Linked DNA regions of Arabidopsis thaliana. The protein of the gene in region 1 purifies or fractionates together with the protein of each later gene. This does not show direct contact. Each region holds a gene or a part of one and is shown in the gene's direction. Other genes may lie near its edges.

Evidence for each region.
Region 2: the proteins of AT1G49015 (region 1) and EIF3G2 fractionate together in Arabidopsis thaliana (co-fractionation; one large-scale study listed by BioGRID). This does not show direct contact.
Region 3: the proteins of AT1G49015 (region 1) and AT3G02200 fractionate together in Arabidopsis thaliana (co-fractionation; one large-scale study listed by BioGRID). This does not show direct contact.
Region 4: the proteins of AT1G49015 (region 1) and AT1G66070 fractionate together in Arabidopsis thaliana (co-fractionation; one large-scale study listed by BioGRID). This does not show direct contact.

The regions. Positions count from the first base shown.
Region 1 is NC_003070.9:18,129,580-18,136,514, forward strand, and holds AT1G49015 (DPP6 N-terminal domain-like protein), read left to right. Parts: upstream 1-4,948; coding exon 4,949-4,998; intron 4,999-5,070; coding exon 5,071-5,122; intron 5,123-5,151; coding exon 5,152-5,733; downstream 5,734-6,935. Other genes in the region: AT1G49010 (Duplicated homeodomain-like superfamily protein), read left to right, coding at 3,135-3,559, 3,680-4,199.
Region 2 is NC_003076.8:1,804,805-1,812,391, forward strand, and holds EIF3G2 (eukaryotic translation initiation factor 3G2), read left to right. Parts: upstream 1-3,306; 5' UTR 3,307-3,364; coding exon 3,365-3,695; intron 3,696-3,757; exon of another isoform or gene 3,758-3,912; intron 3,913-3,952; exon of another isoform or gene 3,953-4,107; intron 4,108-4,342; coding exon 4,343-4,938; 3' UTR 4,939-5,052; downstream 5,053-7,587. Other genes in the region: PRA1.A2 (prenylated RAB acceptor 1.A2), read left to right, coding at 77-234, 331-371, 480-558, 1,145-1,231, 1,320-1,408, 1,501-1,572, 1,652-1,755; AT5G05990 (Mitochondrial glycoprotein family protein), read right to left, coding at 2,107-2,266, 2,343-2,719, 2,849-3,091; AT5G06010 (uncharacterized protein), read left to right, coding at 5,136-5,459; AT5G06020 (Plant self-incompatibility protein S1 family), read left to right, coding at 7,134-7,587.
Region 3 is NC_003074.8:402,245-410,972, forward strand, and holds AT3G02200 (Proteasome component (PCI) domain protein), read left to right. Parts: upstream 1-4,343; 5' UTR 4,344-4,447; coding exon 4,448-4,540; intron 4,541-4,816; coding exon 4,817-4,946; intron 4,947-5,036; coding exon 5,037-5,175; intron 5,176-5,258; coding exon 5,259-5,471; intron 5,472-5,590; coding exon 5,591-5,729; intron 5,730-5,824; coding exon 5,825-5,975; intron 5,976-6,047; coding exon 6,048-6,157; intron 6,158-6,235; coding exon 6,236-6,333; coding exon of another isoform or gene 6,334-6,337; intron 6,338-6,413; coding exon 6,414-6,483; intron 6,484-6,564; coding exon 6,565-6,675; 3' UTR 6,676-6,956; downstream 6,957-8,728. Other genes in the region: SP1L3 (SPIRAL1-like3), read left to right, coding at 2,745-3,014, 3,115-3,213; AT3G02190 (Ribosomal protein L39 family protein), read right to left, coding at 3,761-3,809, 3,902-4,005, 4,096-4,098; COBL1 (COBRA-like protein 1 precursor), read right to left, coding at 7,108-7,397, 7,484-7,764, 7,846-8,002, 8,097-8,553, 8,639-8,718.
Region 4 is NC_003070.9:24,592,766-24,601,377, reverse strand, and holds AT1G66070 (Translation initiation factor eIF3 subunit), read left to right. Parts: upstream 1-2,746; 5' UTR 2,747-3,011; intron 3,012-3,799; 5' UTR 3,800-3,857; coding exon 3,858-3,870; intron 3,871-4,068; coding exon 4,069-4,190; intron 4,191-4,317; coding exon 4,318-4,466; intron 4,467-4,589; coding exon 4,590-4,737; intron 4,738-4,828; coding exon 4,829-4,985; intron 4,986-5,092; coding exon 5,093-5,184; 3' UTR 5,185-5,569; downstream 5,570-8,612. Other genes in the region: AT1G66080 (hikeshi-like protein), read left to right, coding at 351-453, 553-1,022; AT1G66060 (hypothetical protein (DUF577)), read left to right, coding at 6,246-7,193.

The DNA.
Region 1 (6,935 bases):
ACTTAGTAAATAGGACAAATTAGATTCGAATTAACTGAGCTGTCTAAATAAAGTTTGAGTAGTCCGACGTTTTGATATCGTCGCCATAATGCACGGTGGTAGTTGACTTGATGATGACTCTGATATTCCTTCTTTTTTTCCTTTCTTTTTGTTAGTTAATGACTTTGATATTCGGTTTATATTATTTAAGATTTCATTTCATCAAATATTAATTGAATGATGTTTAAGAAATTAGAGAGTTAAATATCTATTGCATATATGTCAGTAGAATACTACTTGTTTTATTTTCTTTGTCCTTTTTTGGTTGTTGGCAAAAATGGTTTTTCTTTGTTCGTTTGTAATAATCTCAATAGTAACAATATATATACTAGTAATTATCAAATCCATATAGTGATATACGCGAAGCAAATGAATCAGCGGTAGATGAAATCTCTCGTTTGAATATTTGATATTTGACTAAGATTGCGGGGATACATATAGTACGCATGCATGGATGTGAAAAACACGCAAATGTCGCGTTGCACCGGACATTTTCTTAAATTGCACTCTAACATTCTCATATCCTAAACTTTAGGCCTTATTTTCTTATTAGAGTATGTATTTACAATATTTACTTGATTATTCTCATAATTGACATATTGAAATTTGAAGCCCACAAAAAACAAAGCTTCTATAGTTCTTCTTCCGTACATTACGTTAATTTGATTCATTCCCAGCTGTAACACAATGATATATATTCGGAACTATATAGTATAATCATCCGTACAATATTGGATTATAATTTAACACATACTGTCTATGGGCCTATAAAGGCGGATAGGCCTGGACACGAAGCAAATATCCGGAAAAATTGTGATATTTGTTATTTGATTCGTTTTAATCGAATACTTGATTTTATGATTTGCTTTGATTCGAAACTTTCCGGATATCCGGAATTTTGAATATCCGAATTTTTTTGTGATATTTGCGGATATCTACTTTGATACGTATAAATATTAAAAAAATATGTAAACTATATAAGCATATCAGATATTCAAAATTTTTATTTAACATACTTTCAAAATAAGTTATAAATACCAAATATAACCTTTGTTGTTATTACCGGTCAACAAAAATGTTATCAAACTAATTCCAAAAACTAAAATCCGATAGTTTAATTTTGATGTCATTGATCAAAACACAACATAAAAAAAATGATAAAACAAACATCTTAACATAAAAACATAAGGTAGCAACAATACACAAACTATTTATGATATCTACATATAGATATAACTATATATTCTAATATATATCAAAAGATACGGATCAAAGCGGATATTCGATTTTAAAAAAGACAATATTTGCTATTTGATTCGGTTTTTACGAATACTACATTTTCATATTTGCTTTGGTCCAAAATCTTACGGATATTCGGATTTTTTGAATCAAATCAAATCGAATACCGAATCGAAGCGGATCGAACGAATATTTTACCCAGCCCCAATAAAGGCTATAACACACCTTGAGAAAGTTCAAATTCCTCAAGACATAGAAAGTAGCTAAAATATTCAAGAAACGTCTCCAACAAAAGCCCAAATATTAACAACTGGAAATATAAAAGGTTGTCTACAAAAAGCTAGCCAGCAATTTTTCAATGAATTAAGTACCCGTTAAGTTGATTTTTTCACATATTTTGATTCATTTACACTTTTTTGTTGTTGTCTTATAGAAAGTAAAGTATCCGATTCATTTAGACTTTTAAGTGTCCATATATATATGGTGTGAGATCTCACAATTCAAAAAAAACTTATTATTGAAGTGAAAGATGGTAAGAACTTTAACAAAAAAAAAAAGAAAAAAAAAAAAAGATCGTACCTTAGTGACTTGGGTGGGGTGACATACGCAGGGAAGCCTAACAGTCAAGCTCCTTATCGCGAAAGGCCCATTACCTTCCAAAGACAAATTCTGGATCAGATGACCATTATATATACGAGCTTATTTGGAAGAAAATCTTCATTCAACAACCCATCTATTAATTTCCACCTATTATTTAAAAGAGAGATGAGAAATGACGTAAAAAAAAAAAAAAAAACGTTTTTCTAGCTCTAGAAATTTATAGATGGGTTGTTGAATGAAGATTTATCATTTTATGTATTCGATACTATGTTAAATAAATTTCTTTAATCGAGTTTGTTTTCATGCATGTTCTATTAACAAGTATGTAGATCTTGGAAAAAGAAAATATTTTGATCTTGATAAAATTCTTTTTCAAATCTCGATTAGTTTATTGTTTTTCCGAATTTTGCATTTATACTATTTATGTGATGTTCGTTTGTTAGTCGTTGGCGACCGCGACCAAATGTTGTTCGTATGGAAGTCGCTGGATATAGCGACCTGCGATTATAATTTTTGGTCGCTATTTATCTTTACGACTGATTATAAAACGCGATGTCTGAATTCAGTAAACTCGGCGACGGTATTGTTTTACATTCTTTTACATTTTAAAACTCTATTATTTACATTCTCTATTAATTATAATGATGCTCACTAATATAAAGTTTTAAAATGTGATCAATTGTTTCAAACTGCATTTGTCTTAACAAAATTCAAAAAAAAAATATAAATTTTTTGAAATAAATGTTTTATAAATATCAAAAGGTAAAGCTACACTAATCTTTTGCATTGTATTCGAGTAATATAAATCGAAATGACCAAAGTCTCTAAAGAATGAATAAGGATCAAATTTCAAAGAAAAGTGAAGAGTAATCGTCAACTACAAGAATCTTATCCTATGCGTACTCTTTCCTTATGAGTGACACAATAGAAAACAAACCCAACTGATTGATCCTTGTGAATAAGATAAAGTCCCAATCAACCTCTTACTTATCCTGCGCATATGCACTGTCCTCTATACTATCATGCGCATATACAAATGTCCATTCTTATCATGCGCATATACAAATGTCCATTCTTATCATGCGCACCTCAACTTAATACCAAACAAAAAAAAAAGTTTCACAAAACTCCAAAAGGTAAAGAATCTGACCCATTCACATATGCGTTTCAAAAACACTATCATGTCCACCACACGATTAAACCAAAGAGAAGAGAGAGAGAGAGAGAAACAGAGAAGAAAAGATTGAAGCAATCGAATGGAGAGTGTGGTGGCAACATGGAGCAGAGAAGAAGAGAAAGCATTCGAGAACGCAATTGCGTTGCATTGTGTAGAGGAAGAGATAACAGAGGATCAATGGAACAAAATGTCGTCAATGGTACCAAGCAAAGCCTTAGAAGAAGTAAAGAAACATTACCAAATCCTTTTAGAAGATGTCAAAGCAATCGAGAATGGTCAAGTTCCTTTACCTCGTTATCATCACCGCAAAGGTCTCATCGTAGATGAAGCAGCAGCAGCAGCTACTTCTCCTGCCAACAGAGACTCTCATTCCTCTGGATCATCTGAGAAGAAACCAAATCCTGGCACCTCCGGGATAAGTAGCTCCAATGGAGGAAGAAGTGGTGGCTCGAGAGCTGAGCAAGAGAGAAGAAAAGGGATTCCATGGACTGAAGAAGAGCATCGGTTTCTTCTTCTTCTCCTTCATCTCCATCATCTATCCATTGATATTATTTAGACTTAAAAGAGTGAAAAAAGATTTGGAAGATTCTTTACCTTTATTGAATACTCTGTTTTGTTTGGAAGGTTGTTTCTTTTGGGTTTGGACAAGTTTGGGAAAGGAGATTGGAGAAGCATTTCAAGGAACTTTGTGATCTCAAGAACTCCAACACAAGTTGCAAGTCATGCTCAAAAATACTTCATCAGGCTTAACTCGATGAACCGAGATAGAAGGCGGTCTAGCATTCACGACATCACCACTGTGAACAATCAAGCTCCTGCGGTTACAGGAGGAGGACAACAACCGCAAGTGGTTAAACATAGACCAGCTCAGCCACAACCACAGCCACAACCGCAACCACAACAACATCATCCCCCAACAATGGCTGGATTAGGGATGTATGGTGGTGCGCCAGTGGGACAACCGATCATCGCACCACCTGATCATATGGGTTCAGCTGTTGGAACACCTGTGATGCTTCCACCTCCAATGGGAACTCATCATCATCACCATCACCATCATCTTGGAGTTGCTCCTTATGCTGTACCGGCTTATCCGGTACCGCCATTACCGCAGCAACATCCAGCTCCGTCGACAATGCACTGACTGAAAACAATACAGTTGGTATTAAAACTGACATATATTGTACTGAAAACTTGTGTACATTCTCAAATCGAATAGCGAAACTGCGGCAAATAATAATGTACAGCAGAGGAATCTGTTTTTCCATTTCAAATCTATGATTTTCTTCTCAATATATTTCTTGAAACAAAGGCCTATAGGAGGATTTCATATTCAGACAGTAGAGAGAAAGTTGAATAGAAGTATACATAGATACAACAAACAAAACATATTAAAGAGTCATAGACCAAGTGTTGACTAGAAAATTTCACCAAAAAATACTAAAAGTAGCGTAGCATGTTACTATGTAGCTGCCAAAATTGAAGTTTTATAATCTAAGAGGTGAGATAATGGGGTCTCAAGTTTATACTTATCAGAGAAGATCTCTTGTAACTGAAAATAGGCATGATGAAACCAATTGAGCAATTTGTTTGCAAAATACATAACAAAAACGTAGAAGCACAGGCCAACCTGATCTCTTATTCCAGGGAAAAAAAGTAACCAAGTCCAAAAATATGATAAGAAGAGAAGTAAAGATTCAATAATGTAAAATTCTTACAAGAGGTTAAGAATGGTAAAAACTTTTCAAGTGCCAAACTGGTGACAGACGAGAGATTCCATAGATCATCGTTGCTTCTCTACTTCCAATCTCATTTTGATGCAAAGTATTCTTATTTGCATCCAAATTGCAGGAACCCTGGTTAAGAATCTTTGATGTGAGAACTGGGAGAATAATGGCTGGAGTAGATGGTCATGTTGTTGACAACTCATGGCCTATAATTAGGTACTTTCTTGAATTTCCTTTGAATAGAATTCTTAATACATTCATTGACATAACCTCTCTTTTTTTCCTTAGATGGGCTGGGGGAAAAGATGATAAATACTTTGCCACACTTATCAAAAACACTGTATCTGTTTATGAGACTAAGACTTTCAGACTGCTACGCAAGAAGGCGCGGCTGTGAATTTTGATGATGTTGTGGGCATGTCTTGGTCTCCTACTGAACCAATCCTTTCACTGTTGAAAGGGGATGTCAAGAACCAGCCTAAAAAGGTTGTTTTTCTGCAAATACCGGGCTATGTGGAGCTGATGCACAAGGATATTCTCAGCGTTAGCGACTGTAAGATGTACTGGCAGAGCAAAGGAAAGTATCTTGCTGTCCAAGTTACTCGACATACGTGCTCTCTGTTTGAGCTTTTCCGCTTCAATAAGGTACAAGGCATTACCACCGAGGCTCTTGAAGTGGATGAGAAAATCCTTGCTTTCGCGTGGGAGCCGAGCGGTCACAGGTTTGCCGTGATTCACGGAGATCAATCAAAGCCAAATGTCAGTTTCTATTCTATGGAGACACCCCAAAACCCTGGAAAAGTTTCAAAGCTAGCTACCTTTGACGACAAGGAAGCTGATGCTCTCTTCTGGTCGCCAAGAGGCAAGCACATCGTTCTCGCTGGTTTGAAAGCTGCTTCAATGGCCATCTCGAGTTTTTCGACGTGGATAAGCTTGAGATGTAGTAGGTAGTAGGTATACAGTCATGAGCATGAGCAAGCTCTTGACAAGATATATGACCAGACGAGGAGTGACCGTAGTGTTGCGAAGTCATCTTACTGTTTGTTTTCAATAAATGCATCTCCAGTGAGACAATGAAAAAAAACAGATGCCAAAATCCCTCGTCAATGAACCAACAAGAGTATTAAGGGAAATTAACTTACTTTGAGTTGATTAAAAGTTTAAACTCAAACAACGCGTTTGGGCCTCTTACGGCCCACAATGATTTCAGCTGCTTCAAAAAAGTTGGGAAAAAAACGCCGTTGCCGGGGATCGAACCCGGGTCACCCGCGTGACAGGCGGGAATACTTACCACTATACTACAACGACTTTGATGTTCCTTGATCCTTCACTAAGGATATTCAACTTTTTAACTTCTTGCAGTTATTCATTGATGGATTTTAATAGAATTGAAATTCAACAATAATGTACTGTTATTCATCTAATGATTCTAAATCCAGCTTTAAAATCTAGTGTTACTGGAGCTTATCTTTTTAAATCATGCTTAATAGATTTTAAAGTTTGTTGTTATTCAATTAAGATTTTAAATAGTTTATTAAAATTCAGTGTTATTCAAAACTAAAAGACTTGTAAAATATTTGTATATTAATTTATTTGAAATGAAACACTTTTGGAGTTTCATGAGTAAATCATTAGAATCAAAATCCAAGATATACTCCAGAGATTTTGAAATCCAAGCAAACATATTCTTAAAAGCAATATGCCAATATCAGGAAGTCAATCATCTAAACTTTAAATAATAGATTTTAACTCCATAATTGAATAACACCACCTAAATATATTAACCTTCTCAAGTCCTTAGCTTGGATCATAACACATTGGCATAAGTCAAAAGTCTTTTAAGCAAACAAAGAAAGCCATGTGCAGCATAGACAATCATGTTTAGCATTATCAAATGGGAAGTATCATTTTCCATAGTCAATACCAATTTATGTTTTTTTCCGACTTATAGATTATAAAAGTTCCCACCACCAATAGAAGTCAACAAGGTTACGAAGTCAAATCCTTTTTGTTTTATGATACAAGTAAATAAAACTAATTTGCGGATATAACTTAAATCGCATTCAATTTTGTTGCATATAGAATGTAGGTTAGATATATTTACATTTTCGCGAGAATGATATCAATCAACTCATAGGTCCATGTTCCAAAGA
Region 2 (7,587 bases), on another chromosome or scaffold:
AATCGTGTAATCAAACTCATCGGAGTCTCTCGAATTCGTCTTTGAAGAGGAAGAGAAGAGAAGAGGCGAGGGAGATATGGATTGGGACAACGTAGCAGCTGAGGATGTGATTGAGGCGCTTAGAGAAGTTGAATGGTCGACGCCTCCTCGTTCGTTTGGCGAGTTCTTCTCTAGATTCGCGTTCCCTCGCTCTTTCTCTAAATGGAAGAGCCGTCTCAAATGCAATCTCTACTAGTATTACCTCTCTCTCTTTCTCAATTTCTGTCTGCGTCGATAGGATTTATGATTTTGATCTTGTGTTGATTTTTGCTTGTTTTATATGTGTTGCAGCTATAGGACGAATTACTTTATCTTGGTGATTTTCGTTCTGGGTAAGTTATAGTTTTGCAGAATTTTATTGCTTTTAGCTGTATTTTTGGGAATTTGGGTTTTGATCAAGATCTTGTGCAGTTTGTTAATCCATGTTTGTGTTGAAACAGGTCTTGCGCTTGTTACGAGACCTCTGGCTCTTGTGGGTGCTGCTCTAACAGCTTTAAGTATAGCTTTCCTTAACGACAGGTACCATCTCATGTGACTTGTTTTGGTTTCTACTTATATATATCTGCTCTGCAATGCGTTTAAGGCTTCATGGTAATGTGAAGTTGGTGTAGTTTTGCATGAATTAGAAGGGTATTAGGCTACTTTGTATACAGTGCTTTCTCTTCAACTGGATTCTTAGTATTGGATTCGAATCATCCGATAGGTTTTTATGATCTGTGATTTTTGAAATTTGAGTGTTTCGTGGTGGCTAGTTCCATGTGTATTCATATGAACTTCATGGTCGTTTGTTCCATTTGTATTCACATGCATTGGTAGATATTAGGCTCCTTTGTATATAATGGTTGCTCTAGAACTGGATATCAGTATTGGAATTGATAGGTTTTCTAATTTTGGTTCTTGAAGTCTTGAGTTTTTCAAGTTGGTATGTTCTATTCCCGCTGTGGCGATTTGATGTTCATGTTAGAATCATACATCGATGTTAGTTGCTTTTTTATGAGATTGGATCAGAAAGTATTGTAGTATGTGGTTGTGTGTGTGTGGTCCGCTCCCTAGCATAATCTATTAGTTTTTCAAACTTAACGGGGTTAAATGTTGTCTTTTGCAGTTTTGCAGCTAGTTTTAATGAGAAGTTTATAAGAACGATTAGGCATTTCTCCCCACACATGGCTGCAAAAATGAGACCTCCCCACATGTGAGTTCCATATTAATTAGGTTCATGGAAGATATAAATAGGGTTCGTAGTTACATTTGTAATTTTATTTAATATGTGATCACTGCAGGCCTGTCATCCGTGGAAGATCGACAGCAAGAAAGACAGTATACGTTTGTGGGAAACCGCGATGGGTATTCGTTATTACTTTCCTTACAGGTACTTGAATACTCATAATTCCTCTTTATGTAGTTAATGTAATATTGGTGTTAAAAACTGATCAATGTGTTAATTTTCTCATGTATATATAGCCAGTCTTGTCATGTGGTTTTCTTCCTGCGGTTTGTTGTGGGTCCTCTATGCACTTCTCACTTCCCTTGCTGGTAAAGTTATTCCTCCTGTTTGATCATAGATGTCCTTTGATGGAGTTTATGTTTTGACCTTAACATTTTTTCTCCACAGTGATCATTGTTCATGCAAGCATAAGAACCCCAAATCTCAAGGCACGCTTAAACACATTCCGTGAAGAATTCCGGGCTGTCTGGCGTAACTACAGTGAACTTTAAGTCACAGGTCGCGCTACACAATCTAGAAACAAACAAAACAGTCATCTGACAAGTGAGGGGATGCTTTCCCTCAACCATGTTCGCAGTTTATTCTTATGATGGCAGATGTAGCTCTATTTTTACATGGTTAAGATGGTTATTGGCAGTTCGATAGCAGACAGAATAGATTCACTTGAAATAGTGGACATACTTGACCAAGTTACTTCTAATTGGTGTAGTGATGTTTATACTTTTCTCACTGTCTCACAATACTCTTTTTTTATATAAATAGATCCAAACATAATTGAATGGTGTTTCAAGTACAAAATTTGGAAGACAAAGAGCATCGGAAAATAACATTGTTTTCTTATTTCAATACTTGACAAAGTTCTTGAGAGATTTCAACCACAGTAAGTGCTCTCTACTATCCTTGTTGATCATGTACTCGTGCAAGAAGTTGATCATGCTCGGCTTTATCCCTCTAATCTCAATGTACCTATGGAAAGCCTTCCTTAGCTTTTCATCCAAAACCCTGCAGAAAGAAACCATCAAAGATCATCGCTTTGATTCTGGTAACATCAAAAGCTTAAAACTTTTTCTTCTATTACCTGAAGGAAGGTCCTTCATAAGCAAGCTCATCTTTGGAAGGATCATCAGGAAATGTAACCCACATGTCCTTGATCGCAATCCTGTCTGGAAAAGCAGTACATCTAAATTCCAAACTTGGTCCTGTCTTCTTGGAAAGAGTTACTAAGAGAGGCACATTCGATTGCTTAGGCTTCAATGGCTTATCCTCATCTTCATCTTCTTCATTCTCTGCTTCTTCCTCATCATCTTCATCATCTTCTTTGTCACCAGTCACAAGATTAGTCATGTGTACTTCAACTTTAACAGTCTCTCCTTCATATTCTCTAGTCAATGTCACAATCTTCCCTCCTGGTTTGTCTTCCATTTCGAAAGGGAAGCCACTTGGAGTTTCTTCAACCTTTATTCAAACAAAAGAAGAAACAGAGAGATTACACACCATTGCCATTGAAACAGAGCTTCACGAAACACATAAATCTTAATAAACAAAATTTGCAGAAACTAAAACATGAAAATGGTAAGGATTTACTCGATGATAATCATCAGCTTTCTCGGCGTATCCAATCTCCTCTTCAATGATTCGAAGAAGCGGATCAGTTGGAGAAGCTCTCTTTTTGGTCGATGTGGTAAATGGAACATTCCGGTCAACCGACGGCGTCAGATGTCGCCTCCGGCCAGAAGCGGACTGGTCCAACAATGAGTAAACGAAAGAACGGTTTTTCCAATAACTTCCCACAAACCGAGAAGCTGCGCGACGTACAAGAGTCGCCATTTTTTTTGTGTTGAAGCTCAAATTGGAAGAGTGAGGGTTTTTATTTCCCTTTAGGGTTTAATATAGCAAATTACAAATTTAGCGGGACTTAAATTAAAAATCACAGAAAATCAGGACCGGCTAAAAATACGGGCCAATATGGGCCTAGTGGCCCATTACGACATTAAGAGACCGTTTCCATAATCCGAAACCCTAGTTTGCTTCTGTCTTTAGTTGTTGCCTTTTAAACTAAACTAACGAACTTAATAAGCGGCATATCTAAATCTGAGAAAAATGGCGATTGATACGATACAAAAAACAAAAAAGCTTCGGTGGGGAGAAATTGACGAAGAAGAAGGCGACTATGATTTCCTTCTTCCGCCTAAGCAGATGATTAGTCCGGACCAGAACGGTGTAAAGAAGGTGATTGAGTACAAATTCAACGAAGAGGACAAAAAGGTCAAAATCACTACCACGACCCGTGTTCAGAAGCGAGCTCTCACCAAACAAGCCGTGGAGCGACGGAGCTGGAATAAGTTCGGAGACGCAGCTCATGAAGAATCCAGTAGTTACCTCACAATGCGTTCAACAGAGGATATCATCTTGGAACGAATTAGAGCTCCTGGTAAAATCTTCAACTTTGCATTTTAGTTTGTTAGGATTCGTTGTTATTATGCTCTGTTTTGATTAGGGTGGCTAATTAGCCAGTCACATGTTAGCTTTATGGCTACTGTTTGTGTGAATGGTCAGTAAGCACACCTATAGCAATGTCGTTGGTGATTCGTTTCAACACTAGAACAGGATTTAACCCAGTTTTTGGTTATGGATCATCAACTATATCTTTGGTTCAAGTTTTTTTTTTGTAACTGTGTAACATAACAAAGGTGCCCAATTAGCCGATCACATATTAGCCATATATGGCTGCTTCTTTCTGTGATTGGTCAGTATGTCACCAATATAAGTATCTTGTTGGTAGCCTTTTCTGAATGTGGACAAATTCTGTGTTCTCTTTTCTAGGCTATTAACTGTACACATTCAAGTATTCATTTTTACATAAGTTTCTTTATAGGTGGACACGTTAGTCAGCCATATTGTTCTATATGTGGGTGGCCGTAATGCCCACCTAGATGTTTTGTTGGTGGCTTCTTGCACGAAAGTAGATTTCTGCTTTCACTTTATAGCTGCCAACTACATTTTTAGTTTTTGCATTACCATCTTAAAGGGTAGTATTATTTTGAGGTTTTAAGATGTTTATTCTTTTGAATATCTCAGGTAGCAACGCGGAACAGTCGACCGTATCAGGAGATAGCATGTCTCAGTTGGGCAAACCGGGTGCGGTCCTCATGGTCTGCAGGTTATGCCAAAAGAAAGGTGACCACTGGACATCAAGATGCCCACAGAAGGATCTCTTATCCTTAATGGACGAGCCTTTAACAGCAGAAACTTCTACATCGACCATAACTGGAACTGGCAGGGCGGCTTATGTCCCGCCAAGCATGAGAGAAGGTGCAGACAGAAAAGCTGGTGGTTCAGACATGAGGAGTAGACATGATGAGAACTCTGTCCGTGTGACTAATTTGTCTGAAGATACCCGTGGACCAGATTTGATGGAGTTGTTTCGTCCGTTTGGTGCTGTAACCCGTTGTCATGTAGCCATTGATCAGAAGACAAGCATGAGCAGAGGATTTGGTTTTGTCAGTTTTGTGAGCAGGGAAGATGCACAGCGAGCAATCAACAAATTGAATGGCTATGGTTATGATAACCTCATTCTTAGGGTTGAATGGTCCACTCCTAAAACCCAATTAGATCCGTTTTCATTCGCTGATTATAATAATCTTTGTAAGTTGTTGAATATATGTCATTCATGATTATAAGTTCTCGCGATACATAGTAATTCATGTTGGGGTCTCGTATGCAAGTTCCTACTAAATGTATTTCGGTTGAATACGTGCAAAAAAAGTAATAAAACTCTCTTTATTACGGCAAGCATGTTACTTAGAAATGATCATAAGGGAAGGACCAAGTAAGGGCAATTAATCAAGTGAATATCATCAAATTCAAAGAGATGGGAAACAAGGACTCGAAAGGCTCTTCTTCTTCAACCAATCCGAAAGAGGAGATTGCTGCTGTACCTCAGCCTCAACAGTCACCACCGCAATTGATCCGAAAATCGCAACCACAGCAGCCATTACCACCACCTTCGTCTGAGATGCCTCTTCTCTATCCGTGTTACAAAAAAGAAGACTATGAGAAAATGAGCGAAGAGACAATCGATATGCTCTTAGCGACTTACGGAATCATGACAGTCCCTGGCGATTTAGCTGACAAGAGAAAGTTTGCTTTTGAAACCTTTCGTTGGGATCATAAGAACAATCACCCCAAAGCTTAGCAACTACTTGTCTAGTATAATGAAACTAACGTTTTATGATTGGACCTAAACACATTCATAATTCGTTCATTAACACAAGAAAATATAAATCAAAATGCTAGTACTTGTACAATATCGAATATTTTAATCACTTTAACATCTCTTGAACAAGTTTCAGAAAAAATTGTTAAGACTAAAAGGCCCTAATTTTACCAAAATAATTATATTTTATTTTGAGTTTTGCCAAAGGTCCAAAAATGAATTGAGCCGGAACTGTATCCAATATGGAACATAGTTTTTACAAAATTATAGTTTTACAAAATTTAAACTATATCCAACATGGAACAAAGTTTAAACCCGCGGGCCTAATGGGTTTTATAAAATTTAAACGGATAGCCGGTTTTAGAAATCATAGTTTTTTTTTTTTTTGACAAAGTTTTTTTCTTTAAACTTGTTAATCTGAGACAATTTAATTCTTTGAAGAATATATGAAAACACTAAATTAATCATGAACTTTTACTATACTAAAAAAATAAAGAGATCTTCAATCTTCAATGGTGGAAACTGAAAAGTCTTTTTTTTTACTTTAAAATTTAATTTAATTAGTTAAGTAAAGAATAAATAAAAATACCAAATAAAAATCGTGAACTTTATTTTTAATGTTATAGTTTGATATCCACTGTTAAAACATGAAAAAGATTGTACCAAAACCCATAGTTTCTATGAAATAATATCAAAACGGGCCTAAAAGGATTTAAATGGATCAATGCAAATTTAATGGATTTAAAGAGCAAAACTTAACGGAAATGGGCTTTAATAGGCTTAAATATTTTTTGGTTAAACGGGCCGGGCTTAAACGGGCCGATCTGCCTGTTATAACATCACTAAACAAAATTATGGACTGCAACAACAATAATGTCTTCTTTTGCTTAGAAGCGATTTGAAACTTTTTAAGTAGTTATGATGTATTTATTTTCTGTAGATTGCTTTGATCTATTTTTTGTAATTTTTGTAATTCTGTCAAAAATAAAATAGTATAAAATTTAACCTTTTACTAAAAAGAAAAAAAACAAGATCTTGTGAGATAAAAGTATTAAAAAAAGTCTCATACAAAAAAAAAATTAAACTAAAAGTTTGTGTCAGACTTAATTAAGGCAATGTGGTGCTCACTTGAAGAAACTAAATCCTATTTTAATTAATAAAAGCAAATAAATAAACTAAGATGGATGTAGTATGCCACACGTCCAATACCAATGTTTATCTTTGTAATATAAGGATTCTATGATTTTGGTTATTTTTAAAAATGTATATCTTTATAAATCAATTTAAAATCTCTTGAGGTTTTGCTAATTTAGGTTATTATAAGTAAATAAATATAACTATTTTTAAGCTACTATGTTACTATTTTTTATTTTCCTTATTAGTGAAATTTGTAGGATTTTCACACATGTTAAGAAAACATATTAAAAAAAAATATTTTTGTGATTTACAATTTGCAATAACTCTAAATTAATAGTACTCAAATATGTTTTTTTCAAAATTTATAACTCATCAATAATAACTAATAAATATTGCATAGAAAACTTAAAATATTTTTTTGGAAACTAATTTTTTTTTTAGAAAATAAAATAATAAGGAACAAAGAGAGTATAAATTATGAACTATTGAAGATAATGATATCAATAACACATCATAATGATAAACAGCTCATCTAAAAAAAATCTCATATCCACCTTCTCCTCAATGTTTACAATCTGTATAGTGATGATATTTGTGACATGCTATGAAACGTTTCAACAAGATGGAGAACCATTTCCAATTAGAGGTCCTCTTACGAGGATCACGGTTAAAAACAATAACGATTATTTGCTTGGAATCCACTGTAAATCTAAAGATGATGATCTCGGTTTCCATATTCACAAAGAGGGTGAATTATATGGTTGGAAATTTCATGTAAATTTTCAGAATTCAACACTATATTTCTGTGGATTTAGCCAAGGACAAGATAATAAAGGCGTGTTCGACATAGACAGGGCGGAAAGAGATTTTTATAGATGTAGAAATTGTACATGGAATGCAAAAAAAGATAGTCTATATGGTTATAGCAACTTGCCTCAAACAGTTACATGGTTTTTTAAGTGGTTAAAAT
Region 3 (8,728 bases), on another chromosome or scaffold:
AGATTAAAGAGATATACACTTCGAAAGACTATAAATAGCATGTAACCTTCAGAATAAACTGGTTGACCAGTTATATGACCTTTTTTCTTAGATAAAGATATGTGTAGATGAAATGCACCAAACATACTTCACCCGTTAAGATGAGATTAATCTATAATCTCGTAATCAAAGAAAAATAAAGGACAAAATTAAGAGGAAAAATGGGAAAAGAATAGACTAGTGAAAAAGAAAAGACAAAGGGAACAAAAACAAAGATAGAAAAGGGAACCAAATCACATGAAGCAATTGGGTATGTGACTTGAGTGTTAGGGTTGATAGGGAACCAACTAAGCAAAATGCATTTTAAATGCTAATGAGAATTTACTAAAATCAATCAAAAGTTAAGTGTGTATACTTTTACGTTAAGTTTCAAAGTTCAAGTTATCTAGTTCAATTATTGGCACATGATCCCACTTATCACCCACCCATCCAACATTTGTTTAATTTCACCATTAATTTCTGTGGGGCTTCTCTTCTTTGATTTTGACTGCCAGCATTACATACACATCTTTGCAATTTTGCATAATTATGCTTTTACATACACATATCATTGTATAAAAATTTATAATAGTTTTAATAACAAACATTTGATAGATATAAGAGCATTCAAGTCATACATAATTTGTTCGTTAGATCTAATGATCTTTCTTTTCAGGGGAGTAATTTTATATAGTTCTTCTATTAATGCCTAAGAAGTAAAAAAAAAAAAAAAAAAAAAAAAAAACTTATAAGAAAAATAACGTATCACAAATCATTAGTACGATTTCTCTGGCTTTGTTTATGCCCACATATTTGTCTAAATTTGTATTCACTGACTTGTATAGACATCAATTATACTCTATACTATTTACTTAAATGTGCTTTTAGAAAACTAAAAGTAACAAACTACAAGCTGAAAATGATTCATCTTTCGTCCTAAAAACAATGAAGTTTATTATTAAATCTATACATCACTAAAGATTTAGATAGTTAAATGAGGAGCTTAGTCAAGATTCCTTTCTTCATCATGATTACGTTAGTTATAACTATTAAAATTTATGTCACATGCGACGGATCTAATATTAGGGAAGACCCAAAATAAAAAGAAAAAGTTCCAATAACAGTCCCTATTGTAATGTCATCGCTCATCGGTCTTTAATTGACGTTGGTCTTAGTTAACACCAAAACGTAAATGTTAAGGTTTATGATTTCGAGCTCAAGAATATTTGGTAACAAAGAGACTGACTCATATTTTATATATATTATTTGGTTCCAATATACGTACTAATACTATTCTCCTATATATTTCGTTAGGTTCCAATATACCAGAAGAAAAATCTTATTGAGTTGCGTCAATCAGATGGGCCTTAACTCTCTAAACCCATAAGGTCTCTCAAGTTCATGTACCTTGGAGTTTGTTAAAATCTCATTTTCTCGAAATTTCCTTAAAATAATACTTTTGTTCAACACATGGGAAAAAGAATGTAACCATAATATGAAAAGAATAAAATGCACAATTACACAGCAAAATGTGGGGTACTGCAATTACAAAAGATGAAGTATGGAAACCATGTAAGAGTATCATATACTTTCTCTGCCGATAACAAGTGCTAGAACTTTTTTTTTTCTTTTTTTCTTATCTTCTTATTATCCTTGCCAATAAAATTGATAATCAATGTCATGTAATGAAAGAAACAGAAGATTTTTCTTTTGACTTTTTAACATTTTAAATATTGAATGTTCTTCCCTAGCCCACACTACACATTGAACATGCTTTGAAAAAAAAAAAACTATGACTAAAGATCACAAACTTATTAGTAACAGATTGTTTTTTTTTTTCGTTGGCAAGCAACTATTCTGCCTTAAAAGCGTTTTTGTAAACTAAACTTTCATTCCTAATTGATGATGATATTCACATTCACGTATATATAAAATATGTAAACGATATAGGAATCACACTTTAACAAAAAAAATTGTACTAATTAAAAATAGAAGAAGAACTGGCGCAAAATGTAAAAGCAAAAGAGAGATTCAAAGGGAGATTTGAGACTTCAGTTTCATGTGTCGTCATTGCCATCTTTCAACATCACCTAAAATCTTCAGAGAAGTCAACGAGGAAATCTCGTCCGTAGGATGATGAAATCGTACAAACTCTGATGATGCATGATCCTCAAAGTCATGGGTTCACACAATGTGGTTAAGTTTCTTCTTTCGTGTCAGAAATTATCAAATGAAAATGCGTCTCATTATTCTCGCCTACTTTTGCTTCTTCTTAGAAATTGCCTCCTCCATGCATGTTATTTCAAAAAAGTTCTTCGTCATGCATGTCTATAGAATTACATAAGCCCAAAATTATTCCTACAACCTATGAAACTTTGTTCTATGTCTATGGAATTACCAAAAGCCCAAATCAAAGCCCGTATAAGCCCATTCGAGATACTTTTTGTGTTCCTCATTTTCCTCTCGGTGCATATCCATATTCCATCTGTTTCTCTTCCTTGATTATCGGCCAATCATAGAACAAGAAGTAGAGAAAGCAGAAGATACACTACAGAGACAGAGAGAGGTAAATAAAAATCAATCCTTTAGATCTCTCTTATTACGTGTCTTTAATGATTCAATGATAATCTTTTTTGGGATCTTCTTGCTCACATTTAACTGATCTGATCTGATCTGATAAATAAACAAACTTAATAAAACATTTTCAAAATTCAGATCTTGACAAGATGGGTAAAGCAAGAGGAGTGAACAATGGCGTGAATGAAAGTTCTCTCGGTTATCTTTTTGGTTCCGGCCAGCCTTCTTCCGCTGCTGCTGCCACAATGGGGACTACTACTACTACAACCACCACAACTACCACCGATGGGACCGGAGGCAGACCGATAACCACCACGACGACCACAGTCACTGATAACAAGAAGACATCTGCAGGTGTTAGAGGAAGTCCTAATAATTACTTCAGATCAGAAGGCCAAAACTGTGGAAACTTTCTCACGGTAACAGGAGATCTTTAGTCTTTACAAAGTTTTGAGATCAAAGAATTGACTTTTGATTTGGAAACTGATAAAAACCAAAAATGTTTGTTGATGAGAACAGGACAGGCCATCTACTAAGGTTCATGCAGCTCCTGGTGGAGGATCTTCTCTTGATTATCTGTTTGGAGGACCAAGTCCTGCTGGATCTGGAAACAAATGAAGTTACTTGTAGTTTTTTTCCCACTATTCAGATTCGTGTAAATCATCAAAAGTGTTGGCTTTTATCCCTTAGTGAACCCTGTGTGATTCAATTGTGATGTTTGCCTTTTGTTCTCTTCTTTGTCTTGTTAAAAGGAATTTTCAGACAATGTTCTCTTTAAGAGTTCCAAGAAAATAAACTAAGTACTGATCAACCAAGAGATCTATATCAAATGAAACAAACAATGCCCACAAGATCTTGCGTTGAATCAGCCATGTTCAAAGCTCTGATCAATCGTAGGAGAAATGATTCGAATTCAGCCATATACTTACGTTTTATCATAGAGTAGAAAGAAACAGAGTCAAATCAACGACCAATTGTAGGAGAAAGGATTCAACTATTATAATTCATAATCATGCACTCTTCTTCAAGTTCTAAGATTTAAACATAGCTATAAGCCACAAAATCCTTAACAAAAAACTAAAACTTTTAGGGGTCAAAGACCACAATTCCGATACAAGAAAGCAATTAAGAAACTCGGACGAATCTGAGTCACGGTGAGAGTGCTCTAGAATCCTAGCTTGGTACGGCGCCAGTGCCTACGCTTAGCGTTGTACCTGTGTGAAGGTGATGGAACAATGGAACTCAGTATCAAAGTCTGCAACTTTTTCACGGATCGAATGAAAAAAGTTTACGAAAATCTATAAACCTGATTTTGTTATCAGTACGGAGACGGATCCAATTAGGGATCGGTCTGTTCTGTCTCATCTTCTTCCCTAGCTTCTTTTTGATCATGAACGACTTGTGCGACGGCTAATATCAGAGACCATGAAATCGATCAGGCGAAGGAAATATTTAAGAGAGATAGAACAAAGGATACAGAGAGGGAGAGAGTAAAAGTACCATCTTGACTTCAACGGTGGCGATCCGGCGGAACACGGCAGCGTTTAAACCCTAATCTTCTCAAATGTTAACTGAGGAAGAAATCGATTTTTATAAGGGTTGTGGACTAGAGCTCAATCCTGACCGTTGGAGTTTTCTCATAATTTATTAGCCGTCAGATAGGTAAACCGTTAATTTAGGAATCGTATTCGGTTCCGGTTACCTTTAACCGGAAAAGAAAAAAATATAGAGATTTAGGGTTTCATTTTCTTCTCTCTCTCTTGTCTCTGCTGGTCGGCTGCTGAAACAAGTTGTAATTGTGGTGCATTTGTTCTTCAGCGCAGCCGAGAAGATTCGAAACCGGAGCTAAGCTATGACGACGATTGTTCCCACCTCCGAAGAAAATCCCTTTCTCGCTGTTGTCCGATTCACTTCCCAGCTCGCCTGGGCCGATGCTGGTCCCGAGGTAACCTCCACACCTTGGTTGTGAATTTATAGTGGGAATTTAAGAATGTCTATCTTAAGTGAGATGGGAAATTTGATCTGGTATATGTTGTTTCGTTCGAAGAATCTGATTGGTTATGGAAGGGTTTGTTGATAGTTTCTGGACTAGAATAGTTTGTAATCTTTGAGGATTCTGATGCATCCGATTAGTTCAACCATCTAAGATTAGTTTCATTAAGCGACTTCTTAAGTTTTCAAGGCTTGCCTGTACTTAACTAGTTATCGTTTCAAATTTTAGGCAGCAGAGCCAGAAATTACCAGGCTCTGTAGGGAGGCTGAGGAGTCAATGGTAGCAGAGAAGTGGCTTGAATTGTCTTCGTTAATGGTCACTTCAGCTGAATTGGTATCTTCTAAGATATCTGAGAAAGGTTTGTGTTCCTATTCTTACTTATACCTGTTTATTTTGTATGTCTTTCGAGTATTCAATTCTCAGTGATTTGCATCTTTTTTTAATTCAGATCTTGAGTGTACCTACACCATCATTTGCAGCATTGTCAAGAATGCGAAAAGCCCTGAGCAAGTCCTTGAAATGGTGAAAGCTATAGCTTCCAAGGTTGCTCAACAACCCAGTGACAAAGCTTCACTTCGTTTGAAGATGTATGAATCGTTTCTGCTTATTTCTGAATGCTTTGCTCATTTATCACACTTCTCATTTTTTTTTTGTCTTAATCTTTGTGTAGCCTCTTCAATCTCTATAACCTGGTTGACCACCCGTATGCTCGATTTCAAGTATACATGAAAGCTCTTACACTAGCTGTTGATGGGAAGGTTACTGAGTACATAGTTTCTTCTTTTAAGAAGATCGATAACTTTCTGAAAGAGTGGAATATTGACATTAAAGATCAGAGGGAACTCTTTCTTGCCATTGCTAATGTGCTGAAAGAAAACAAAAGGTATTGAAACATAATTTATACTTTATAACTATGCTCATCAGTCATTCTCTGTCTCTTTCTTTTTTTGTTTCCGTTTGGGTATAACAATAGCCTCATGGTTTTTTCTATTAATACTCCAGCTTGGTGAATGAATCCCTTAAGTTCTTGACGAAGTACCTAGCAACTTTCTCCAATGAGGATGCTCAGGTCCTGGATGAAGCCAAGGAGGAGGCTGTGCGTGCAGTTATCGAATTTGTCAAAGCTTCCAGTATTTTCCAGGTATCATAATGTGAATTGGATTTGTCTTTCTTGTCCTGACACTGCTCTTTTATATTTGATTGGAATTTCAACGATGGCAATCTTAAATCTTGCAGTGTGATTTATTGGACTTGCCAGCCGTAGCACAATTGGAAAAGGATGCTAAATATGCACCTGTTTACCAACTTCTGAAGATTTTTCTTACTCAGAGGTTAAATGCCTACACGGAATTCCAAAATGCAAATTCGGGATTTCTGCAAAGCTATGGTACTACATTGTTAACTCACTAACTGTTTTTGCTGAAATATGATCTCCTGATGAATCCTGTGGTGTTTCTAGGACTTTCCAATGAAGATTGTGTTACGAAGATGAGGTTGTTGTCACTAGTGGATTTGGCCTCAGATGAATCTGGCAAAATACCTTACACCTCGATTAAAGACACTCTTCAGGTAAAAACTCTCCTCTGCTTGCACTTAACATGAAATATTGAGACCCTTTTAGTTTCTCATTTTTCTTTTCGTTTTCAGGTAAATGAACAGGATGTCGAGTTATGGATCGTGAAGGCAATAACTGCAAAACTGATTGAGTGTAAGATGGATCAGATGAACCAAGTTTTAATTGTCAGGCAAGTCACACATCTATTGAAACTCTGCACTTATCTAAACGCAACATTCATTATTTGATGGTTTGATTCATATCTTACAGCCGCTCTTCCGAACGTGAATTTGGGACAAAGCAATGGCAATCTCTCCGAACAAAGCTTGCGACTTGGAAGGTAACTACAAAAGCTTTCACTTATTACAGAATTTTATTACAAAACATCTCCTGAATCTGATTCTTATGTGTGGTTGTGTAGGACAACATTTCAAGTATCATAACTACCATCGAATCGAATAAGGTAACGGAGGAAGGTTCTCAGGCATCATCATCATCTGCTGCAGCTATTCAAGGCTTGAGTGTTCGTTGAAAAAGCTATCAAGAAAAACCGTTTCATCCCCAGAGAAGCTCAATTCTATAACGAATCTTTTGTCTTCCTTAAAGCTTTTTCTCTGTGTATTTGGCTGCAGGGTTTTTTTGATCTTTGAATCTTTTTTTTGTCCCTGAAACATATGCGGAGACTTTTCCTATACATTATTTTTTGCTAGTAATGTTTCTTAACTTGATGCTACACACTATTTCAAAAGTTTATACTGAATATCTTTTACTTCCCAACATGGAGATAGAGAACAAAGAAGTGGTAGCCATTTTCAAGGGGATCTAGTTAACCATCTAATATTAAAGCGTTGTACAGGAAGAGGACAGACAAGAGAGAACACAAAAAACTAAGCTACCAACTCTCTCTTGATGGGTTATATCAGTTCGAAAAACTGCAGCAGAAGAATTCTACACTTGATGATTCTTACAAGTTTCCATGTAGGAACACAATCAGTAACAAGGCCATTGCTGCAAACAGGGAACCGACTGATTTGTGCGAGCCGGTATTGGGCAGCCAAGGGTAAGAATCAGGAGGAGGCATCACACAGTTATCTCCATTGAAATAGATTCTTCTTGGAAACGCCCAACCTTTCTCAAATGTGAAAGCTGATGCTTCTTTCTGGAAAAGTAGCTCAGATTGTACATTACCAAATGGCCCAGCTTGCATCAACAGATCATTGTAGAACTTTATTCCCCAGAGAATCCCAGTATCATCTATATCAAATCAAAAACAAAAAAAACACATCAAGATTTGTTCCTTTCTATAGAAACAAGGGACTGATAGATGATGGTGTACTTACTTATGGAAGCATAAGGAGTCAGAGGTTTATAGTTGAAGCTAAAAGTCTGAGTTAGATTGTCGAAATTCGGATGCTGCACGACGAGATTCCACTGTGAATAGTTCATGTTGTAGTTGAAATTTGTGATGGTGACTTTAACTCTCCAGTACTGTTTGTAGTTGACTTTCACATGCCAGTGGATTCTAACTGGACACATATGCTTTGTACATTGGACCAGAGGCGGTATATATGCGTTCTTCCCCGGATTTGGAATGACTGATGCTATCCGTGGACCTTTTGGGCTGTGTGGACAGACAAGACACCAAAATTAACCAAACAAGTTAACATATTTTCAGGTAATGAAAGTTATGAGAAGAACTTACTCTACACAATTCCCTGGCTGAGAAGTGTTTCTGCATCCACAAGAGCATGTTGGACAAGAAACTATTGTCTTGTTATAAAACGATGAAAGAGATACACAGCAAGTTGGTGTTTTCTGAGCTAAGAACTGCGAGTATGTGCAAGTTACATTCCAAGTCACTGTCACAGCAGAAAAAGAAAAGCCAAAACTCAGTTTTCATTTCACTCAAAAGTCAAATTTGTTTTGGTAGAGTTCAAGAACTGAGTAACTTACTTAATGCTTGAGTAACTCTTCGTTTATCAGTACCGATGAATCTAGTCGGTTTTACAATCTTCGCGGGGCTACAAGTATATCCCGGTCCAGGAGCTTTGAGAGTGAAATTCTTAGGTACCCTAACTGTCTTATTTGTGGTTCCAGCTTGTCCAACAGTAAGCTGGAAAGCGGAAACAGCAGTTGCGGGATCTTGAGCCCACGAGTTAAGCACACCCCCTCTGCAACAATTAGCAATCTGCTGATTGTAAGGAGATCCAGGTAAGAGATCAACAACAGAAGGTGTCTTTTTACAGCAATGAGGAATGGTTCCTTTGAATTTAGAACAATCTCCTTGTTCTGTGGTTTGTCCTCCATTCATTCCCCATATAACCTCTCTCTTTGCCCATGACCATCCAAGAGTCCAACCTGGAGCTTGAATGTGTCGATATTGCTGAAAATTATATACCGTTACAGTCGCCTGCACCGCGAGAAGATTCAAGATTTTAAAAATCACTATCAAGATTCAAGAAATTCCCAAATTTGAAGCTAATGTAAATAGATACCACATAGCCATCTCCAGTCCAGGTTATGATATCCCATTTGACAGTAATGTTCCCACTCGGGTCCAAAGGATCATAAGCTTCTGAAACAAT
Region 4 (8,612 bases), 6.5 Mb from region 1:
AACAGAAGTAAATCCACATAAGTTTTTTTTTCTTTTTCAACATCTTTATTGTAATGGTTCAACTGTTGAATTTCTTATTTATTGAACACCTCTATTGTACATGATTTTAGGTAGAAAAATGAAATTTCCAAAAAATAAAATAACGTTAATCTTTTCCGCGGTCACACAAAAAAAAGTCTTCGTGCGGAGTACATAGCTCTTTCTCAAATCTTCTAGAACCATCTTCAAATTCTTCACCCTCTCTCTTTCAATCATCTACATCACTCCATCACTCCATCACCAACATAAACTAAAACTTCACTCACATTAAAAAAAAATCAAAACCTTTCAAAAAAACCAAAAACTCAACAATGTTCGGAGTCGTCTTCCCCAATCGAAGTTTCCCAATAGACATCTCAACCTTCACTCAAATCGACACATTCCACTGGGTTCTCGACATGAACCACTTCGTCGGTAAGTACCCATCTCCCCAAAAACCAAACTTTTCAAAACCCTAATTCCCAAAATCAAAAACCCTAATCGAAAAATCCAACCTTTTTTCTTTTTTTACAGGTGAAGCTTATGATCAAATCTCAGAGATGTGTATCTTCTTGTTAAACAATTTCAATCTTCCACCAGATAAAGCTTTAGCTGTTTATGTTCAATCTCCAGGATCAGCTTTTGTGTTCTGTGGTGCTGTAACTTTAGCTAGACCTTCTGCTGTTTTATCACTTCAATGGCCTGAACCTGGTAGTGCAGCGAAGATGCAACTCACGGCGGGTGATTCGAGTTCCTTATCGGCGAAGATCGGTGTTTCGGTGGAGGATGTAGCAGCGTTGAGGTCGTTGGATGTTGTTGCGGAGAGGAGGATTGAGAAATTGGCTATGAAAGTTGGAGAGAATTTGTTTAACTTTATGCAGTCTTTTTGTGGTGTTGATGGAAGTAAATTGGTTGTTCCTATGGATATTTTGGATCGTTGGTTTAAGAAGTTTCAGGAGAAAGCTAAACGTGATCCTGATTTCCTCAAAAGCTTTGCTTTGTAAGGTTAGCGTTTTTGTAACATTTGATCTTGTGGTTCTATGTGATGAATTGAACAAGAGATTGTAGTTTTACTTTGTTTGTCAATGTTTATTAACTAGTTGATCATACTCTGCTTTTAAGCAATTTAAAGTGTTGAACTTTATATCTTGTTGGTTTGAGGTAGATGAAAAGGTGAAGATTTAATCTGTCTTGTGTTGAGGAATGAATTTTGATTCTTAGTTTTTGATTAGCTCACTTTGGTATACTGTGTGGTTGAATCCATTTGATCTTGGGTTATATATGATGAATTGGAGGAGAGATTGTAGTTTTACTTAGTTTGCTAGTGAGATAATATGAGGGTTATGAATATTTTGGTTTCAGTGTTCTTCTTGCTTACATATGAATCACAGTTTTAGTAGGTGGAATGGTGGATACTGTTTCGTATCTATTGTTCATAAGTTTATACTCTGCTGTTAGAAATTTAAAGTGATGAACTTTCTCTTGTTGTTTTGAGGATTGAGGTAGATGAAAGGGTTAAGATTAAATCTGTTCATGTTTTTATGATGAATCTAAGACAACATTTTAGTTTACTTAGTTTGCCAATGAGAAAATGTGAGAGATATGCATAATTGCTTTCCATGTTCATATTTTTTTCTTCGGTTAATTTAGTGCAATTCAACAGAGGAAGGTTTGACATTTTTTGGTCTAGTAATATATGATTCAGTATTTGGTCAGAGGATAGTTTAACAGTTTCAGTGTTCTAACTCACATTATAAATCATAGTTTTGGTAAGTGGATGCTGTTTCAGATTCTGGTCATGTTCATAGGCTCAATCAACCTTTGATCTTAGCAATATAAAGTGTTGAGCTTTATATCTTGTTGAATCGAGGTAGATGAAAAGTGAAGATTTAATCCATCTTGTGTTGAGGAATGAATCTTGATTCCTAGTTTTTGAGAAGCTTCAGTTTCTTACAGTGTGTACTGTGTGGTTTTACCCGTTTGATCTTAGGTTCTATATGATAAATGGAAGAAGAGATTGTAGTTTATTATAATTTAATCTTATGTTCTATATTTGTTTTCAACGGTTAATTCAATATTTTGTGAGAACTATATGAGTAGTTGCAAAATATGAATCACATATACATTGAGTGGATACTGTTTCAGATTTGGTCATGGTCATAAGCTCAAATGTAGCTCTTAAGTAATTTAAAGTGATGAACTTTATTTTTGTTGCTTAGAGGTGGATGAAAGGTGATGATTTAACTCAGCTTGTGTGTGAGGAATGAATCTTGAATCTTGAATCTTGATTCTTGTCCACTATATCACAGTAGATCGTTAATACATTGATCTAATCGATTGAAGTTGTTGTTTGATATGGTTCTAGATTGGCTTACCAACGGCTTCAATATTCAATGGACCTAAACAATTTGTAGAGTCAAGAAGCTTACAAATATTCGGGATAATCTGACTTGGATGGACAACTCTAGTTGTCTGATACATACGATGAATCAAAATCAAAGCCTTTAACTTAAACTTCAATCTCGAATACATAAGTATTTTCTACAATCGATTGCACACATGTGAGAATACCCTTCAACCCTCATTTGCAAAAAGTACTTAATACTTGGTCAGCAAATTCAAATCATTGTGCAAAAACTCCAAAAAAAAATGATTAAAAACGGAATAAAAAAATGGAGAGTGTAAGATGGAAAAAGTTACATGTTGGGGCCACGGTGATCGGTTCGACCGTATCAGTCTAACCGAAATTGACCAAACAACTTTGGTCTATACTTTGATCGGTTCGACATGTTGGGGCCACGGTGGAAAGGCTTTATAAAAAGGCATAAAATCTAACGAAAAACAAAAGGAAACACACAAAAGCCCTAAATCTCTTTTTAACCTCTGAAGCAAAAACCACCACATCGGAGATTTCTAATCCAACGAAAACGCTTCAATTTTCTTGCGATTTCTCTTCCTCTGCGAAAAACCCTTTTGGATTCAGACTTTCCTCGGTATGTTTTCTTATCAAAGGGTTTTCCTTTCTCAGTTAAATTCGCTTCTAGATCTTAATTTTCGATTGATTCTCTGGTGGGTTTCTATAGAATTGCTCCAAATTATGATTTTGATTTGATTTGATTTCTTAATGTTGGGTTCTCGAATTCATGGTTAATGATTCAAACTTTATCATCAAAACTTCTCTGTGTGTAGTGTAGATTACTATGACCAATTCGTTACTTTTTCTCTGCTCTTTGTTTGCATGATGATGTTCAAGTTGAATCCTTTTTTTATTGAAACAAGGACTTCTTAAGGTTTTAACCATTTTGATTGATTTCGATTGAGGAATTCATATCGATGTTGCAAATCCATAGGATTGGATTACCAAAATCAGAAGGAAATTATTAGTTATGTGTTTAAGATTCTTGTGTTTTGGGGACTGTTTTTGTTTGGTATCTCTCTAAGAGTTCATGGAACTTGTGTTCAGGTTTAGATAGCTGACATGCCTGTAATAGTTTTAATTGATATAAGATATCTTGTCTTTTGTAAGCATTAGATTTAGCTGTTTTTCCTGGGTGTGAAATATTAGGCCTATGTGTTTTTGTTAGCTGTGAAACCTTGATTTGTAAAGTAATAGTATCAGTATTCTCTGTCTATGATGTGAAGTTAGCAAGCTTACTACAAGTAGTTTAAGCATATTTACACATGGGGATCAGTGTATTTGATTATGTGGATTGAATGATTGATCAGTAATGTAGTTTGATCAAATAAGCGTGTTTCTGATGCTTACGCGTATGTTTGGCAGGTTTACCAGTTGGACTCAGATAGAAGCTTATATCTGTACCTGATAATTTGCAGCAAATATGGATGACTGGGGTAAGACTATGCTTTAAGTGTCCTCTCTTATATTCTCTATTTGTATCTAATTATAGTCTTCTTATTTATTTATAGTATTTGATTGGATATGCAAGCAATTTTGGATTATTTGCTAATCTGATGGGTTTCATATTTGATATTTCAAAATCGTATCACTAGCATGTGAGTAGTCTTATAATTTTTATTTTCTGATTCCAGAGGACGAGAAAATTGCACCACTTCCAGCAAAAGTTGAGCTTAAAAGTAACTGGGATGATGAAGATGTGGATGAGAATGAAATTAAGGATTCATGGGAGGATGATGATGATGAACCTGCTCAGGTATAGCTTAGTTTTTACTCTCTGTAATTCTTTCCCTATTGGCTAGTGGCTACTACGTATAATTTGGTTTGAGATTCCAACGGGAATATTTATGTTTTGTCTGCTTTGCCTTGTTGTTTTTCTGTAGCCGCCTGTTATAAATCCTGCTCCGGAGAAGGCTCCTAAGAAAGCAGCCCCCAAAACTGTTGAAAAGAAGGGTAAAGCAGTCGAAGTTCCAAAGGAAGCACCAAAAGAAAAACCTCTAGATCCTATAGCGGAGAAACTTCGCCAGCAGAGGTACAGTTTGTAAATAATATCTTTCCCACACATAATAATTCACTTTAATCTTTTGTACTTTGTGTATGGAAGAAGGCTGTGAAGGTCTATGTGACCTTATATGTTATATTCTTTCTATCACAGGCTTGTTGAGGAAGCCGACTACCGGGCAACTGCTGAGCTCTTTGGAGTGAAGGATGATGACAAAAACCTTGATATGTTTATCCCCAAGTCTGAAAGCGATTTTTTGGAATATGCTGAAATGATTTCTCATAGGATTAAACCATATGAGGTATGTTGTATTCTGCCTTATATACCTTTATTCTCATTGGCTAGTATTGAAGCTCATGATGTGTGAAAATATAGTTTGGTTTCTGTTGCAGAAAAGTTATCACTATATAGCGCTGCTCAAAACAATCATGAGACTTTCATTGACCAACATGAAAGCAGCTGATGTTAAAGATGTTGCTTCGTCCATTACAACGATAGCAAATGAAAAACTAAAGGCAGAGAAAGAAGCTGCTGCGGGAAAAAAGAAAGGTATTATTCTGAATGTGTTACTCACAATCACTTCATCTTTGGTTTATAGTTTTATGAATGTGTTATTCTGAATCCGTTTTTCATGACCATTGGCATTGCTTGATCAGGTGGAAAGAAGAAACAACTTATTGTAGATAAGGCCAATGACGATCTAGTGGCTGGTCCTTATGATGCCATGGATGACTTCGACTTCATGTAGATTAAAAGAGCTTTTTGAGCAAATGCAAATTGGATTTGTCCAGCGTCTATTTTATCATTTATCTATCACTCAAAAGAAACACATTTTTCTTAATTTTGGTTTGAATAGAGCAAGAAGAGCCAAATTTCTGGTTGCGGAAATATATAGTTGGAACATGGGAAGCTTTTGTTTTGGTTTGGTCTGGGAATTCTCTAGAGTCATGTTTTTGGTTCTATTTGTTGGTTGAAAAAGCTATACTTAAAGTGTCCGTATAAATTTATTATTGACATTGATCTGATTAAATCTCTTTGGGGGTTGAATTTCTTATAGACATGAGTGCGTTTCATGTTGTCCAATCTTTAAATACTGCCTCTTGAGTAAGAGAGAAAATGTTGATTCGTTACAATTCGCTAATGTTAGTAGTAAACCTTGAAACACGCTAATATCATCATGACTTTACATTAGCTAATAACATAAAGATGTGAATGGGAATGACATAAAGAATTCATGGGAGGATGATGATGAGTTTTTAACTAAGGAACTCTAATTCCTTACTAGTTAATTTCCAACAACAACACAGTGACTGTATTGTTTAATCTTCTTAATTGGTGGTTGAGTTGCTTCTTCTTCTTCTTCGGACTCTGTGTTGTTTCCTCCGGAAGACATTGTGTCAACAACTTCAGCCTCTTCCACATTCTCTTTTAGGAGAAAGATTAGTGGGATTGATTAAAGAAAGTAATCATATGAATTGATTGATATAATTCTCTGTAATGTAGACTCTTAAATATGTTACAATATCTACTCTCTAAGATATTCTTTTTATAAGAATCTTTTAAAACTTCAAGAAGATTCATTTAATGATTTCCAGTAATGGTGAAGAAAAATATCCAACTAAAAACAAAAAAAAGCAGAAAAATATCCTATCCTATCATTATCCTAATTTTAGAAAAAAATAAATAAAAAAAAAAGTTTAACAAACCTAATTTAATCGTGCGTAGATATATCTAAAGCAGTGATATACTTTTCTTCTTCAACCGTTTTATAGACTCTATTGATCTCCCGGAACTTTCTGTTACCTTCCCATGGATAATCAGAAGTCGCCGAAGCAACCAACCTCCCAAGACTTCACCAAAGCCGCCTTCAAGCTTCTTGCGAATCCCCACGTTGAACCGACGGTGGAATTCATCGCCGCCCTCACAAAGCCACCGGAGAATCCAGAAGATAAAGACATCAAGTTCTTCCGTTTCTGCGTCGCCAATTACCCGGGATGCTTCTCCCTCAAGCTCATGCGTGTCTATTCCTCGAATGATCCACGAGTCCCATACCAGATCAGAGAGATTGCGATGATATTACTCCACGTTATCTTCATCATAGAAGAAGCCTCTTTGAATTTGGCAGTGGTTCACATACTTTCGCCTATACTCATATCATGCCTTGAAGAACAAGTTATCTCGAACAACAGTTTAAAGATTCTTTCCATGCTCGTGAACCGTGTCGCTTTCGAGATATTCACCATTCAGGAAGAAACGTGGTATGACCTGCGTGAGTTTATCTCGTCTAAAGCGGAATCAGAGTTTGCGAAAGCGGTTTCCGTGTTCAAGAGCTTGTCGATGCCTTTGGATGGAGAGGAGTTTTTGATTCCTCTCATGGATAATCTTCTTCCAGCGATCTTAAAACGTTTAGGTAACAAAGAGGAAGAGAGTTCGAGCCAGTGGGGTTTGGCCTTTGTGGGTGGTTTCTGTGCGGCGGTTCACTTGTTGGAGACGACACGTGTTGATTTGGTGGAGAATCTTGCGAATGAGATGTTGAAATCGGTGAAGAGAGGAATGGAATTAGGGTTTCTTGGGAAAGCTCTTAGGGAAGTTGAAACCGCTGTAGTGGAACAATTATGGTGGTATTGTACTACAGAATTCAGATTCGTATTGGGTTTGATTAGTAGGATTGATGCGATTGTCACTGAGGAGACAGCGAAGAATGTGTTGCAAAGGATTAAGATAGTTGTGAAGAAGAAGATGCTTGAATATGTTTAAGAGATTGGTAAATGGTGACGAAGATTGGCTTAATGAGAGCCATTGAATTTGGATGCTTCTTGCCCAAGTAAACAAATTCTTAGGGAATGTTTTGGTTTTGAATTGTGTAGTTTGGGTGTTTATACTTTATATTTTGGTGTTACGTACGAGTGGATTAAATCAAACAGAGTTTTTGGATTTATAGTTTTTTGCATCTTTGGTCATTTACTGGAAAAACTTTAAGCTTTAAATTTTTTACTTTGAGATAATATATCATTATTTCTTTGTGTTCATGGGTAATTTCACCATTGACTAGTTACTTTTTGTCAACAGACCGTTTGATACCTCTAAATAAACATGTGAAACAAGTTACTCTGCGCTAGATCATATTCATGTGATCTTTTTTTCTTTGTAGGAGACGAGAACTTCTACATGAAAACTTAAACGCTATTAAAATCTTGCAAAACACCTCTTTTTCGAGTTAGAAAAAAAAATAGAGTTTTTGGATTAATAGTTTTTTGCATCTTTGGTCATCTACTAATATTGGGAAAACTTTAAGCTTTAGATTTCTTATTCTGAGATTGAGATCCAAGGAAGAATCATATATATGAAAGTTGGCCAATTCTCTTCATATGATTGACACATTATCACTAGCATTTACCATGTGTTTATTAAAGAATTAATGTAAGCTCTTTAACTTTTAATTTATAGGTTAATGATATATTTATTATTGAATTTATGCCGTGATTGGTAACTAAGGTTATTTAGTTTTTTTATTTTTTAATACATGAGACTTTTAGGACTTTGACTTGCATAGTCTGGTTTTTTTTTTTTTTTTTGAAATAGACTTTTAGGACCAAATTATTTTGGAATCTTTGGTTGATGATAATTTTCTTTTACGATTGGTCATTTACTAATCATGAGCAAATAGTCACATTTTTCTTTTCCTTTTCCTTTTGAGTTCACATTTTTCATTTACTAATAAAAAAGTCTTTTCCTTTTGAGTTCACATTTTTGAAAGTCTTGACACCATTCAAATGTATAGAGTATATACTATGAATGAGAATGTTGTGATATATTGAGAAAGAAGCTAAGCTCTCTTATATACAAGTTCTTACAAAGTAATTAATATTCTTTACAATCAATGAGAGAGATTAGTGGGATTGATTGAAGAAAGTAATCATATGGATGGATTGATATGATTCTCTGTTATATAGAATCTTAAATATGTTTCACTATGTACTCTCTAAGATATTTCATCCACTTTGGTAACTATCTTTTAATAAGAATCTTCTAAAACTTCAAGAAGATTCATTTAAAGATTCCAGTAATGGTGTGTATAGTAAAATCTCTGTAATATCAGAACAATGACAGTTCATTAACTTCTCGATAATATTAGTTTATAGAGAATTTGTTGTGGTCACTCTCACTGACCACGAA